Linked DNA regions of Caenorhabditis elegans. The protein of the gene in region 1 purifies or fractionates together with the protein of each later gene. This does not show direct contact. Each region holds a gene or a part of one and is shown in the gene's direction. Other genes may lie near its edges.

Region 1 (5,279 bases):
CTCAAGTTGTAAAATTCAAAAACCAAGCTGAAAATATGTTTTAAAAATCTAGAAACTACAATAATTTTTATGTGAATTTTTGGAAAAATCTCAAGCCAGACGGAGCACGCGCCTTGGCGCGTGCGAACGGCTGGTAAGTTATAAAATCACAAACACGTTTCACGTGAAAACACCCAAAAACTGATCCGTTTCTCTGTCAGTCCTTAGTTTACATTCATCGTCATCTCAACGATTCTTGTCACTGTTTAAGATAAGACTGGCATGCTCCGTAAACAAAATTCGAGCTCCTTGAGCATCTTCTTGCTAGTTCTGCTGCTTCTTATTTCAGTGTCTATTTTTATCACGTCCAATCAAATCAGTAAGTTTCAAAAGATCATAGTTATGCTAGTTACACGGGAAAATTCAGATCGTAAATTGGAACAATGCTCTTTGCCGAGCTTCACACGACAAGCTCGAGTGCTTAACCCAGCAGCTCTTTACACTTCCCATTCTGCAAAAGAGGTCCGCAAATCTTCTTTTAAATCTGCGGATCAGGCCCGGAAGCTACTGATTGCTGCAGCAAAGTTAAATGACAACAAGGACTTTTACGCGAAGGTGAAGACGGAAGCTCATTGTGAGAATATGGAAAGAATTGGAGAGTCAGGAGACGGGGGAAAGTATGTTTGCAATCCAAAAATGGTTCGAAATGGGTGCACGTTGATGTCATTGGGACTTAACAATCAAATAGAATACGATGAACACATCCACAAAGCTACAGGGAAGCAATGCATCATACTTGGAGCAGATATTGTGAGTTTAAAACGTTTGAATTTTAAATATTCACTCTGTAAATTAAGGGAGAACAAAACGAAAAGACGAAAGAGTCATACAAGAATATCAATGGCCAATTGTTCGTAGGAAAAATCCCGGACAATCTGCCCATCTCATCGATGCTCGAGAAGTCTGGTAGAAGTGAGATTGAGCTGTTGAAAATGGATATTGAAAATGGAGAGTTCACTGCTTTGGAGCCACTGATCAAGGACTATTTTGTTTGTCAGATCTTCATTGAAATTCATGGAACCCCGTTGAATCACTTTGAACTGCTCCAAACCATGGCAAAATACGGCTTCCGTATCTTCAACGTGGACCCTAACCCATATTGCGAGGCATGCTGTGAGTACAGTCTCATCAACGACTTTTGTATGGCACAGTTTGAAGTTACTCCGTTGGCCAGCATCATTCCACCAGTAACTGTATGAGTTTTTGTTTTGTTTTTATTTTATTTTATTTGTGTTTTAAATAAAGTTTATGTAAATTGAATTCTTGGTTTTATTTCGACACTAAACCAAATCAGTGCTTATTAACGTGTACTCATATTTTTCGGCTTTATCCGTTTCTAGTTGAAATTCTTTTTGACTCAATTTTGCAGCATCTAATTTTCACTGAGTTTCACAGCTTTTATTAATTGATGGAAAATTAGTAGAATTCGTTTTTTCTTAATCAAAAGTCTATATTGAAAAAAAATTATTACAATAATAAATCATTGATTTGACCTTTTTATGCTTTTTTCAAGGCAAAGCTATACCCAAAAAACTCACTAGTTCATCTGAAAATGAAACAATAACCAAACACAGATTGTTCAAGCCAAACATTTTATATTGATTTTACAAAAAAAAACTTTAACATACAAAACTTTTTTTGATTCATATGAAAAAGGTCGGTGAAATCATAGCTGCTGCAGACGCCTTGATGTTTGATGACGCATCACAAATGTTTTAGCATTGACTGCATCCGGAAGAACTAATTGGTGTTTGACTCTGATTGAAGTCTGAAATCTCTTTCATATAGGCTTGAGATTTAATCTAAATAGAACAAATAGAGGTTAAGGGGTCAGATCGGATTTTTATTTGAAAACTTACAAATTTTTTTTTCAATTTTTTCGAAAAGCTAGTGTCTGCAAGAGGTTTGCAGTTTCTATAAAACATCTTTTTCTTGAGGCCCATGATTTGCCAGTTGCTATATTCCTACTTGACTATGCCCTCTTGTTTTGCAGAGTTTTAATTTCAAATTTCAATACGTCAATCTATAAGAAACAAAAGGAGGAAACATCACTGACCACCGTTCTCTTTCCTTCTATTCGTCAGTTGTCTCGATGCGATCAAACTATCACTTTCCCCCTCTGCGTCTCTTTCATATTTTGCCTGCAACTCTCACTGCGTCTCTATCTCTCCCTCTCTTGCCTGCCAAACGGACAAAAAGTCCACTTTAGTTTTCTTCTACCACGTGCTCTCGGTTTTCGTGATTTTCGTTTGATTTTTTTTTCAAATTTTCAGCAGATGTTGCTACGAAATGTGCTCTCCAAAGGTCTTCGGCTCAGAAATTCCAGCAGTTACTGCTTGAGGCGTAGGTTTTATATTTTACAAGTTCAATTTTTTAAGAAAATATACTTTCAGCGGGTGTTGGACTCGAACGCGACGTCGAAGATGTTTTGGAAGCCGCCCATCAATTTGCCAAGAAAGAAATGTACCCAAAAATGGCAGATTGGGATAAGCAGGTAAGATTTTCCCAAAAACATTCTTTTAAAAAATGATTTGAAATTTTTCAGGGAGAGCTCCCGATGGACGTGCTCCGGAAAGCTGGAGAAATGGGATTCGGAGCCATTTATTGCAGTGGCGACCATGGAGGATCCGGGCTCTCTAGACTTCATGCTTCAGTAATTTTTGAGCAGCTTTCAATGGGATGCGTGTCGACGGCAGCTTATATTTCAATTCATAATATGTAAGTTAGCTTTAAAAAAAACTAGTGAACTATATATCTTATAGGTGCGCCTGGATGCTGGATACCTACGGCCCGGAGAAGCTTAAAGAGGACTTGCTCCCAGACATGGCTGTTTTCAAAAAGCTCGGATCCTACTGTCTCACAGAGCCAGACGCGGGCTCCGACGCCGCAAGCATCAGAACCACGGCTACCAAAAAAGGAGATTATTATGTTGTCAACGGATCGAAAGCTTTTATCAGTGGAGCAGGAACTTCAAATAAGTAGGTCTTTCTTGAGATATTCTGTTTAAATATTGTAAAAAATTTAGCTACTTCGTTATGATGCGGCAGGATGGTGCAGCTCCGGGAGCCAAGGGAATTTTCTGTCTTATGATTGAGGATGGAACTGAGGGATTCAGTTACGGGAAGAAGGAGGATAAGCTTGGGTGGAACTCACAACCAACAAGGATTTTGACTTTTGAGGATTGCAAGGTGAGCGTTTTAGAAGTTTTAATTTTAAGAAGTATTAATTGACTGTTTTCCGATAAAAGAAACGATTGCCCTGAGCATTTGTATAAATTTCCATTTTCCATTTTCCAGGTACCAATCACTAATCAAATTGGAAAAGACGGGTTCGGCTTCAACATCGCAATGGCTGGGCTCAACGGAGGACGCATTAACATTGCGAGTTGCTCACTAGGAGCTGCTCAAAGGAGCATGGACTTAGCTATTGAACATTTGAAATATAGAAAACAATTTGGTAAGAGCTTGGCAGACTTCCAGTATAACCAGTTCAAGCTTGCGGAGCTCGCCACAAAATTGTATACTAGCAGGTGAGATTTTCTTGTCAACTAGAAACTTTTATAAAAAATTTGAACTTATTTTCAGACTAATCGTTAGAAACGCCGCGGAGCAACTAGACAATGATGATCCGGAGAAGGTGGCTCTTTGTGCAATGGCGAAGCTTCACGCCACTGATAATTGTTTCGATGTGAGTAATTTTTCAGCCGACATTTGACAAAGTTTCTTGTTCCAGGTCGTCAACGGAGCTCTGCAGATGTTCGGTGGCTACGGATTCCTGAAAGATTATCCGGTTCAACAGTACCTCCGCGACATCCGAGTTCACCAAATCCTTGAAGGAACCAATGAAATGATGAGATTGTTGATTAGCAGGGACCTGCTCACTAAGGATGTATTCTGGAGCTCCTGAGCCATATTTGTCTCCAAGGAATTTTAGAAATGGGTATTTCCAATTGCTCATGGCATTTTGCTATTTATTACAAACTTTTATTGAATATAAATGTTTTAGATTTTCCTTTTTTCTGCACAAAAACGAAATTAAAGACTAAAAATTAATGCTCTTTTATTTGTAAGCATATTCTATCACAATTTTCTTTTCACTGTGTGGATAGGAGCTTCACGTCCCTAGAACATCACAACCAAGCATCGTTCCTGATCCCGGTAATGAGTAGGCTCATATATTTTGGCCCAGTTGGCAAAGCAGGACCGATAAATTTTGGTGGATTCTCAGCAACTCCATGAAGCCATTCAAAGACTTGAACACGAGCACATGGATCATTTTCATTCATTGGTTGGTCGTAGATATTCACTCAAGAGTTGATCCAAACTGCCCGAAAAGTTTGGGGTGCTCAACTTCAATTGTTTCAAAGCCGATCCTGTCAACTGTCGGCAACAATTTTACCAAACTACGTTTTTACCTAATTCTAATAATTGGGTTCAAATGATTTATTGTTTCAAAAAATAAATTTATAGTTCTAAGACATTTTGAGTTCCGAATCTTTTGTCAAACTTTCAGTTTCATAATCTAGCTCTAAACCTTCCAGATCGCCGTCTTCTCCAGCAGCAGCTCTTGCACAGCAGCAAATTCCGGTACAAACGCAGGAAACAATGGATCCAACAATTCCACAGAAAAACAGAAAAACTAGAATGCAAATGACGGCAATTGCAACTTCAACCGTCATGTACCACTCGCAGTAGTTGGTCTGCTCACAGCATTCTTTCCAGAGAGCGTTGGTACTTTTGCAGGCGTCATCAAGACAGTAGTCGCTGCTAGCGGTGTCCGAAATAGAGATTCATTAGAAAAAAGCTCGTGAGAGGTCGGACGCTGCAGGGAAGCGATTTAGCAGAGCAGCCCTGGGACTCGGCTGCTAGATTTATTATCTTCAGAAATGGGTTTAAAATGTCGGCTGCTACTTTTTTGTTGTCACAAAAGCGCCTAGTGTCGGTACATCTTCAAAACTTACATGATCGACATTTCTCGGCAAGATCTGAATTATCAAACAGCGACATGATGCAAGTTCTCAAAAACCGATAGATACAACTGGTAATGATCGAACATATGCAGTTGTAAAGATTATATTCTCACGTTTTCTAATAATAAATAAAAGACGTGTCTTTCTAATTGTTTTGTCCATTATCTCCTAGTTTGATCAGTTCTAGTTCTGCCGATTTATTAAATTTTTACGTTTTTATAATGGCTTGGTACGACAGCAGTGAGAGCGCTCAGAACTGTAAACAATGTAA
Region 2 (4,948 bases), on another chromosome or scaffold:
GCGAAATCAGATGAGATGTCTGCGTCTCACCTCGCGCATTTTTCGAAGATCAAACCGAAATGGGACTTTCTGACTACACGTGTGCATTAAAAAATGTCTCTAAAAAAATTCCAAAAAAAAATGCTTTACAATGTTGAAAAGGTCCCGAAAGTTTGCGGACTTTCAGATAAATTGCATTTTTATAATGAAAATTTTGCGAAAACATGTTTCTAAAAAATATTGTTAAGAAATTTTGAAAAAAATCAGCGGATATTTAAATTTTCAAAGAAAGTTTTTCAAATTTATTACCCAGACGTTAAAATTTGCGATTTTTGCGCCGAAAATACGGTATTCGGTCTCCACACGGTAATTTTCGGTTAAATACAAACGGGTGTCCGCCTTTAAAGAGTACTGTATTTTAAAAATTTTGTTGCTGCGGAATTTTTATCGATTTTCCATAATCTATTAAAAATTTAGAGTTTTTTTTTAATATTTTAGTTTTTAAAAAGTAAATAAACATATTTTTATATGATAGAAAAACGATGAAAAATTAATAAGAACCCCGGAATAACAAAAGTTTGAAATTACAGTATGTATGCAGTACTCTTTAAAGGCACACACGTTTTTGTGTTTTAAAAAAATTGCCGTGTCGAGAACGGGTACCGTATTTTCACATCAAAAATCGGAAAATTTAGTATACGGGAGATTGATAAAATCTTATTGAAAATTAAATGTTTTAAAAAATGCGGAAGGGAATTTCAAATTCCGCTCTTTTCTTTAACGATATTTTTATTTTTCGGAAATTGCTGAGACTCCTTTTCCACTTTAAATTATTGTATCAGTTTATAAAAGAAATTATCGGGTCTCGCCACGATACGTGCGCCTTTAAACCGTACCGTGCAATTCTCCATTTGAAGTGGTCCACCATCTTTCGACTCCTTTTTCAGAGTCGTGTTATGGATATTCGCAATTGTAAAGTCTTCGGCATTAACTTTTTCTCGACGATCCCTTAAAAATTAATTTTTCGGGTCCCGCAGCGATGCGCCTTTAATCTTTTTTTGAATTCCAGACCTAAATATCTAAAGAAACGAAACCTAGAAACCTCAGAGAGGCGCTATCAAAATGATTGCAACAGGTCTTGCAGCGAAATCGAATTTTTTTAAAAAATTCACTGCGAGACCACAAATTCCACTTACCACGAATACTTTGGAGGTTCACCTCCCTCTTCCGGTTTCGGCACCGCATCCTCGCTGACCTTGTAGCGATCCTCACGTTTAGACCGGCGCCCAAAAAGCTTTTTCGAAAAACAACAGCTCATTGTTCGAGGCTCCCGCAGAATATGCGAAAGTGAGTGAATGAGCAGCGCGAGTTGCTCGGCGAGAGCGCGCGTTGCTATGGAAACCCATGTGAGAGCATCACGTCGCCTTCACTTCCGATGCGAAAGAGGAGGAGCGCAAGACGACGACTTTAATCAACAATTTATTACCACTTTCGTTCAAGAGGTTCAGAGGTTGGGATGGGGGATAATAGCTGCAACCAGCATTCACATATAATATTTGAGATGCGGGGAAGAGGATTATTGGAAAAAGGAGTGAACGAAAGTTTCAGTTGAATACATTATTTCGAGTTACAGAACAATGAAAAGACAACGAAAATGGGGGGAATGATGATTGATTTAGTTGGTCTGGCTTGGGCAGTCGCGGGAGATGTGTCCGGTCTCCTGGCACTGGTAGCAACGCTTCTCCTCGGCCGAGCCACTCTCGGTGCACTCGCGGGAAATGTGCCCGGAGCGTCCGCAATTGTAGCACTTTTGTCCGCCGAAGCTTCTGCCTTCTCCACCGCGGCCTCCGTAGCCACCGCTTCCTCCCTCAGATCTGGCGGATGGGCAGTCACGAGAGTAGTGTCCACGTCCTCCGCAGTTGTAGCACGATCCACCGCCGCCGCCACCTCCACGTTGTCCTCCTCCGGATCCTCCCTTGGGGCAATCGCGAGAGAAGTGTCCAGTCTCTTGGCAGTTGTAGCAGGTGGATCCTGAAATAACATGAAATTAGTCTCGAGATTTCCGCTGTAAATTTATCATCAAATAACTCCTAATCTCCGCCAGCTTAAACACATTTCTCTTCGCCTCCACTTCTCCAGAACTTCAAAAATTATTGCAATTCGGTAAGAAATCAAGAGATAATGTATTTACCTAAATCAACTCAACACCCCAAATTCAACACCACTCCACCTCCTCCACCTCCTCTACGTCCACCATCGGACTCGCCATTCGGGCAGTTGCGGGAGATATGTCCCGGCTGTTGGCACTTGTAGCAATTTCTGTCCGACATTACTGCAAATAATTGATTTTAGAAAAAAGAAATTATCAGTTGCGAGGAATTACAAAAAAATAAACGGTTGAATGTCACAATTTCAATCAAAAATGGCGAAAATTCAGAGAAACAAAAATCCAAGACAGTGAGGGCGAGAAATCATGGATATTCAGTGACTAACATGACAAAAACTAATAAATACATGGAAAACTAGTTATAAAAACCAGTTTTAACGGGAAAAAAGTCGGCGAAATCAGAAAAAATCAAAGAAAATGTGGCCAGAACGTGTCGATCGTCCCAAAATCGAATGTTGGCCGCGTGCCAGGAAAGTTAGATGTGCAGGCAGTCCGGTGGAGCGCCAATTCAAACGTCATTTTTGCTGCATTGAGATTTGATGACAATGTTTTTTCTGCTCGGGTTTCTCGTTTTTAATGATTTTATTCTGAAAAATAACTACTAAATTTGTTTTTATACATTATTATTGATTTCTTAACGTTAAAATAACTTTTAAAAAATGAATTTAAGTCGATATTTTGCAGATAATGGATACTATGCGAGATGAGAAGCGCAAAGCCATTCCGGCAATCGGGTTCTATCCACAGGAAGAAATCAGCACTGGAGTGAGATTTTTAAATTGAAATTTCCACTAAAAGCTCAATTTTCAGACCACTCTCATCGCTATGGAGTACAACGGTGGAGTTGTCGTCGGAACCGACTCGAGAACCAGCGCCGGCTCGTTCATCACCTCCCGTGCCACCAACAAAATCACCCCGATCACCGATAATATGGTTGTGTGCCGTTCTGGATCTGCAGCGGACACTCAAGCGATCGCCGATATTGCCAAGTACCATATTGATGTTTATACGTAAGGAATTTTCAGTTGTTTTAAAATTAAATAAAATAATTTTTTTAAATAATCACTTTTTTCAGCATGACAGAGAACAAGCCAGTGACAATCTACCGCTCGAGCCAGATTTTCCGCCAATTCCTCTACAACTACCGCGAGCAGCTCTCCGCCTCAGTGCTCGTCGCCGGCTGGGATGAGGAGCTCGGCGGCCAGGTCTACGCAATCCCAATCGGAGGATTCGTGTCCCGCCAGCGATCGACAGCTTCCGGCTCCGGTTCCACATTCGTGCAGGGCTTCCTCGACAGTCAATGGAGACCAAACTTGACGCTCGAGGAGTGCAAGGCGATCGTGAAGCAAGCCGTCGGACTCGCCACCTTCCGTGACGGATCCTCCGGCGGAGTTGTCCGTCTCGCCGTGATCAACAAAGCCGGCTCACAGTTCGAGCTGTTCCGTCCCGACAAACCAGGATTCCCATTCGTGCAGACACCAACTCCACATCTCTCTTTCCCACCGCACATCGAACAAGTCCTCTAAAATCGTTTCGTTTTTCGATCTTCTATTGTATTTTCCCCTGTGCGACTATACTGCTAAGTTATTTGATTTCCCTCAATATTTATGAAAATTCACACTTGTCATCATTTTCGTTTCAATGCTGCTGCTGCTACCGCTGCTATGTCAAAAGTGCAGTAATTGGTTAGCCAAGCTACGCAATTGACCGGTATTCTCCTCCGGGAAACTGGTCACGTGGAACGTCAAGCGATTTATTAGAGTTAATTTAACAGAAAGAGTTCATAAATTGCGAAAATATACACGTGGCAGGTTATGGAAAGACGAAAATATTGCAATGGGCGAGTATCTCTAGGGAGGAGAATATTCAAAAAAAAAATTGGGGGAAATTAGAAATTAAAATCTGCAATCGACGAACTGCAAAATTCTGCCAAGGATCGTCCACGTGTACTGGGAGCCGCCAACGTTTGTGCAAGTGGCGAGCAGAGACGGAGCCGCTGAGATTGAAGCTCTTTGCTGAAAAATTAAGAAAAATAAAAATAATTGTTCCTTGTGGTTTCTTAGTTTTCACAGCTGAAAAGATACGGAAAGTCTGCGGATTTTCAGCGAAAATTGTAATTTTTTCTAAAATTCTAAAAAAATCCCCGAAATTTCGAAAATCAGAGGAAATTTAAGAAAAAAAAAATCGATTTTGGAGCCAAAAATGCGTTACCCGGTCTTGACACGATTATTTTCCGTTAAATACAAACGGGTGTGCGCCTTTAAAGGGTACTGTAGTTTCAAATTTTTGTTTCTGCGCGATTTTCATCGATTTTTCATAGTTTTTCGTACTTTTTACTTTACATTTGTAATTTTTTAAAAATGAAATACTATTTTGAATCGAAAAATAACAAAAAATCGTTGAAAATTCCGCTGCACCAAAAGTATGAATCTACAGTACTCTTTAAAGGCGCACACCTTTTTGCATTTAAGGAACATGTGTCGCGTCGAGACCAAATTACCAAGAAATTCGATTAAAAATCCGATTTTTCGCTGATAATTTGAAAAATTTTCTGGATTTTTTAAAGCAGAAAATTGCATTAAAATTTTTGGTTAAATTTCTCAATCTTTTCTATGAAATAAAAAAAATGCACAAAATTCAAGAACATTAAATTTTTATCTGAATTTCGCAAGTCTTCCCGGAATTTGGGCCTGGAAAAATTATATTTTCAGGACAAAAAAACTAAATAATTCATATTCTTGACCACTATACGAATTATTTTTTGCTCTTTTTGTCTTCCGAAACTCCAATGGCAACGGAACT
Region 3 (5,217 bases), on another chromosome or scaffold:
AATTATAATATTCAGGTGAAATACTGTCACCAGGCTATCCAACCACATATCCGAAGAATTCCACGTGTAATTGGTTGATCCGTGTAGAAGCCCGACAACGAATCTACATTCGAATAGTTCATTTACACTTGGCCCCCACTATTGCAGAATGTGAACGAGCATCACTAACAATAATCGATGGATATAAACATGAAAAATATGGAATTGATCGAAAGGAATCCACGTCAGAGACGTCTGAAGCAAAATTCTGTGGAAGTCAGCTGTATTATGCAGAAGAGGGAATGAAAAGCTATTTATCAAGTGCAAATCGAATTGTTGTACGATTTATTACACAGGAAGGACCACCGTCTTCAATGATTGGGGAAGAGAGGATTGGATTTAAAGTTGTATGGACTGCAGTGGAGGGTCTGATTGGAGAAGGTGATGAGAGTGTTAATGGAAATTCTTGTAAGGATCAATTTATGTGCCATGGGGGACAAGTTTGTGTTGAACAGGTTTGTGAAAAATCAGAATGTTTTCAATGAATCTATATGTAGTTCCTTGTTATTTTTTAGAAATTAACTTGAATCATAAATTCAAAAAAAAAGAGTTGTTTAATTACAAAACTTTTTATTTAATCCAAAATTTTGGGTTAGTGTAGTCACTAAAGTACGCAAACGGAACTACAGTACCCAAAAACATCCCATTTCACGACATTTGCTAGTTTCGAGCTGGAAAATTGATTTTTGAACGGGAGAAAACATAAATTCGACAGTCTGAATATTCGAAAAAAAAGGAGAAATTCTAAAGTTGAACAGAACCTATTTAGAATAAATTTTGTTTTGTAAGAAAAATTAATTAGCCTTTTCGTGATTTGTATTTTTGATATTTAACAAATTGAATTGCCACAATGCTGAAATCCATGTATTTTCAATTACTTTTTTCTACTTCAGGGTCATGGAATTTGCGCTTCACGGTCCCGTCTCTGCATTCACAGCTCTCTCGTTTGTGACGGAATCCATAATTGTGTTGAAGGAGATTTCTCCGACGAGCAACACTGTAAGCTCATTTTCCAGTAAAATCCAAGATCTAAAAATTTCCAGGTTACTCCCGAGAGATAATAACATCGGCGGCACTCGGATTCTCGTTGATTGTGCTCACGATGCTCGTCTTGGTGTGCTGTGATCAGTTCAGGAAGCGGCGACGGCTTCGGGTGATGATTCGGGAACGAAGAGCCGCGTCGGAGAATGGGAAATGTAAAAATATGAATAATAATTCGATTACAACACGGATACAGCCGAACCGGTGACTATTAGAGAGCGAATTGTGAATGTTTTCGCGATTCGCTCGACAAATTTATCGAATTTTTCACAATTTTATAATTTAAAATTGCTTTTCAGTTAATGTAACGGAGCTTTTTTCTTTTATTTTTAATTTGAAACTTTAATAAACATTATTCAAACATATAAATTATTTACTTTCGACAATTTTCAAGTGTTTTGCCTGGCAGAATAGAAAGAATTATGGAAATATTAATTCTTTATCAGCGGGAAAGTAAAAGAAAAATAACGGCAACTCCGTGCGGCGATATTGCGAAAACCGCGCGCGCGCATTGCAAAGGGGCGGAGACTCGTCTTTTTGTCATCTTTTGTCATCACTAAAACTAACTAAAACAAAATTTTCTATATCTTTCGCAGGTTTTCGCTTTTTTAACGAGTTTTCTCATTCTTTCTATGGAAATACTGATGAATGTGTAGAGTTGGTCGATATTGGGACCTGTGAAATTTATACTTTCAGCTCAGATGTTATTCTTCGCTGTTTCTTCTTAATTTCTCTTTTTAATCACTTGAAACTCAATTATATCTTTATTTCAGCTCACTTCAAGCGGGAATGTCATCACGAGGAGTTCGAGCGGCGGGTACCGATGGGACGGACTTCCAAAATCGGCAGAGGGTCGCACAGCACTACCAGGAGAGCGCTCAATACAAGTCGATCCTCAAGTGGTTCTTCGTTCCACACTTCTTGATCCTGGTCTTCATGTGGCTCAAGGTTGGCAGCGAACTCCTCCGAACAAATTTCGGATGGAAAAACGCGTTCTTCGATCGACTGGACATGCCGTCAGCCTACCCATGGGAGTATGTGTGGTGCTTCTCATTCATTCCGATCGTCCTCGCCATCTATTCGTTCCAACGAAACAAAGTAATTTATTTATTGATCAATTTGCCACAAATATAACTTCTTATTTCAGCTCAAGATCCTCCACTACGCCTACTATGCCGAGTTCGTCGTCGGAATCTTCCCATGCATGATCGGGCTTGGAGGACAACTTCCAGAGCTGATGGAGTATGCTCAAGACATGGAGGGAAGCAACACACCGACATTCAAAGGAATCTTCCCGATGGTCATCATATGGTACATCTTCTTCGCGGTCGCACTCCAGATTCACGGATTCTCCATGTACTTCATGCATCACCTTGCCGCCGCATGGGCTCCAGTCAAGCGAGATTAAATTTTCTCCGTTTTGTGATATTATTTTTCAATTTTCCCCCATTTGTTGAGTTGTGTACCTTTTCCTTGTTAATAGTATTTTTATTCAAATTCCTGCTAGTCTCTATTGCCAAATTAATAATTCCATATCTTTTATTTATTTTCTTACTTTTTCTAATTACCGGTTACTGTTCTACAGTTCCGTTGATACTTTTCTGTTTCAATATTGATTGCATTTGTTTCATTTTGTTAAATCAATTTTCAGAATCGAACTCCAAAGATGTGGGGCGAGACATTCGACGATTTCGAGAATGACGAAGGAGAGATGGCAATGGCCAAGCAGAACCTGATCGCCGAGCCGGCTCGAGCTGATTTCACTTTCGCGAAGCTTCCGTTGGGAATCCAGCCCGTCGATTTCATGAAGACTCACTTCGCCGAGACCGCCGGAAAATCCATGCAATTCCGCAAAGGAACCACCACATTGGCGTTCGTCTACGAGCCAGCAACTCCAGCTGACAAGGGAGGAATCATTGTGGCTGTCGATTCACGAGCCTCCAGTGGTGAATACATCTCATCCAAGTCGGTCATGAAGATCTTGGACATCGGAGATCGTATGGTTGCCACGATGGCTGGAGGAGCTGCTGACTGTCAGTTCTGGACCCGAATTGTCGCCAAGTACTGCACGTGAGTTTCAATATTTTCAGCTTCAAAACAAAAATAATTATTTATTTTCAGTTTGTACGAGCTCCGCGAGAAGACCTCAATCACCGTGAGCGCCGCGAGCAAGTACTTTGCAAATACGCTCTATGGATACAGAGGACAAGGATTGTCAGTTGGATCGATGGTGGCCGGATACGATAAGAAGGGACCACAAATCTTCAAAGTCGACTCGGAAGGAGATCGTTGCCAGCTTAAAGTGTGCTCAGTTGGCTCAGGATCTCTGAATGCCTACGGTATCCTCGATAATCACTACAAGCCAAAGATGACGGACGACGAGGCCAGAAAGCTCGGCCTGCGTGCGATCATGCACGCCACTTATCGGGATTCTGGATCCGGAGGCGTCTGCAATTGTACGTGAAGCTTTTTGCTCGGCTATTCCACAAAATGGACCATTTTTCACTAAAAATGGCTTTTATTTTGTCTAAAATTTAAATTTTAGACGATTTTTATTCGAAAAAATTCTTCGGATAAATGAAAAAATTGGTTCATTTTGTGAAATCTCCGGCCACCTTTAATCTAATCGCTTCTATTTTTCATCCTCCAAATTTCAGTGTGCCACATCACGCCAACCGAAAAGATTCGTCTTCCACCAATGGACGTGAGCAAGCTGTGGTACGAGTTTGCCGATGAGCTCGGCAGAGATATCACCTACAACCCAGTCGAGTGATTCAATTTCCCTACGCTGAAATTAATTTTATTCTTCTTACATGTATTTGATGTCTGATCCGATCCCGATTTTTTTTACATACACACCCGTCTTTAAAATGTCATTTATTTCTATTTTTCGTTTCCAATTAATTTATTCTTCTTTTGCTAAATACTCTCTGTACATTAAGTTCTAAAGTTTTCAAGTTCGAAATCCCGAATTTAGGCTTAGAATTTAGAATTTCCCTCGACAACAGGGGTGGCTGGAAGAAACTCTCAATCACATGGCACAAATTGGATTTTTGGAACATTAATATCAAGTAGTTCTAGAGGGATACTGAGATGGAGTTACACTCAAAAGTTTATTGCAATTTTCGAATGTGAAAATCAAGTTAAAGCGATATGTGTCGGCTGGGTGTTGATGACGTGGTGATTATAACAGCTGGAGTCCCATTAGTGTTCCGCCACGCAGGGCCTATTCGTGTTCCAGCTGGAAATAGTTTAATTGTGCTATTATTTGAATTGTTTTTTTCCATTAAAATTGAGAAAAAGTGCGATTTTAAGAGTAATGGGTATCAGTAGGATCTAAATATTTTAGCTACCGTACCCAGGAATATTTTGCAACTTTCTCTAATTTTTTCGACAGCTTTGGATTGTACAGTTTTGGCTGAGAAAGTCAATGGGTAGTTCGAAATTTGCCAAAACTAAGTTTTCCGTAGATCAAACACAAAGGTTGCGCGCCAAATATGATGTTTTGAGTCCTCAATCGGAAAGTACGCAAAGACACACAAAATGCATCAGATTTGACGCGCAAACTTCATTTTTCTTGTTTGTGAAAAAAATATAATATTTTTTTAAAAACTTACAGGACATAGAAGGTGCCACAGATGCCCGTTCTATAAGCTCAATTTGCTGCTCTCTCCGCCTGGGAAGCATCGGACGGCGGCTCTCGGAGCCCACACTATCGCCAGCTTTATTATATATAATGGCACTGGAACGATCGAATTGTGGCTCCTTTTGCATATTATTTATAAAATGGTAACAAGCGGTAAGCATGACGCCCATGAAAATTCCAATGCAGAAGAGTAATCCGACAAGAATCCACGGGAAATCAGATGGCTTGAAGGAATAGGAACTTGGCTGGAAAAATCGAAAATTGGTAAGTGGTCAGCATGCGCGCTCTAATGTTAAAAGAAATATAAATTGTTGGTGTTGGGTCCTGCCGTTATCTAAATTGATATAAACATTTAAGCTACCATAGTCACGAATATTTTTTTTTTTTTTCATTTTGTTAGAATATTTTCGTCGTACAAACCGATAATCGGCAAAATTTTTAAAAAAGTTAAAAACTCTGTAACCGCGCTCCAATGATAAATAATAGAATTG

What was found.
Region 2: the proteins of acdh-9 (region 1) and pbs-1 fractionate together in Caenorhabditis elegans (co-fractionation; one large-scale study listed by BioGRID). This does not show direct contact.
Region 3: the proteins of acdh-9 (region 1) and pbs-5 fractionate together in Caenorhabditis elegans (co-fractionation; one large-scale study listed by BioGRID). This does not show direct contact.

The regions. Positions count from the first base shown.
Region 1 is NC_003280.10:845,637-850,915, reverse strand, and holds acdh-9 (Isobutyryl-CoA dehydrogenase, mitochondrial), read left to right. Parts: upstream 1-2,312; 5' UTR 2,313-2,315; coding exon 2,316-2,382; intron 2,383-2,432; coding exon 2,433-2,533; intron 2,534-2,584; coding exon 2,585-2,757; intron 2,758-2,801; coding exon 2,802-3,017; intron 3,018-3,064; coding exon 3,065-3,227; intron 3,228-3,335; coding exon 3,336-3,568; intron 3,569-3,623; coding exon 3,624-3,726; intron 3,727-3,771; coding exon 3,772-3,945; 3' UTR 3,946-4,052; downstream 4,053-5,279. Other genes in the region: F28A10.5 (Methyltransferase FkbM domain-containing protein), read left to right, coding at 262-358, 407-789, 837-1,238; F28A10.13 (60S ribosomal protein L35), read right to left, coding at 1,706-1,807, 1,899-1,982; F28A10.7 (uncharacterized protein), read left to right, coding at 5,230-5,275.
Region 2 is NC_003282.8:1,707,628-1,712,575, reverse strand, and holds pbs-1 (Proteasome subunit beta), read left to right. Parts: upstream 1-2,830; 5' UTR 2,831-2,833; coding exon 2,834-2,911; intron 2,912-2,956; coding exon 2,957-3,156; intron 3,157-3,221; coding exon 3,222-3,672; 3' UTR 3,673-3,773; downstream 3,774-4,948. Other genes in the region: rpi-2 (Protein XRP2), read right to left, coding at 876-987, 1,176-1,297; K08D12.3 (CCHC-type domain-containing protein), read right to left, coding at 1,655-2,010, 2,210-2,309; pugs-4 (C6 domain-containing protein), read right to left, coding at 4,042-4,161.
Region 3 is NC_003279.8:14,717,992-14,723,208, reverse strand, and holds pbs-5 (Proteasome subunit pbs-5), read left to right. Parts: upstream 1-2,731; 5' UTR 2,732-2,746; coding exon 2,747-3,150; intron 3,151-3,201; coding exon 3,202-3,536; intron 3,537-3,737; coding exon 3,738-3,853; 3' UTR 3,854-4,042; downstream 4,043-5,217. Other genes in the region: sol-2 (CUB domain-containing protein), read left to right, coding at 16-494, 933-1,038, 1,083-1,288; K05C4.2 (Protein jagunal homolog), read left to right, coding at 1,870-2,178, 2,228-2,488; Y54E5A.8 (Conserved plasma membrane protein), read right to left, coding at 4,224-4,321, 4,698-4,971. UniProt on the Caenorhabditis elegans protein: Component of the 20S core proteasome complex involved in the proteolytic degradation of most intracellular proteins. This complex plays numerous essential roles within the cell by associating with different regulatory particles.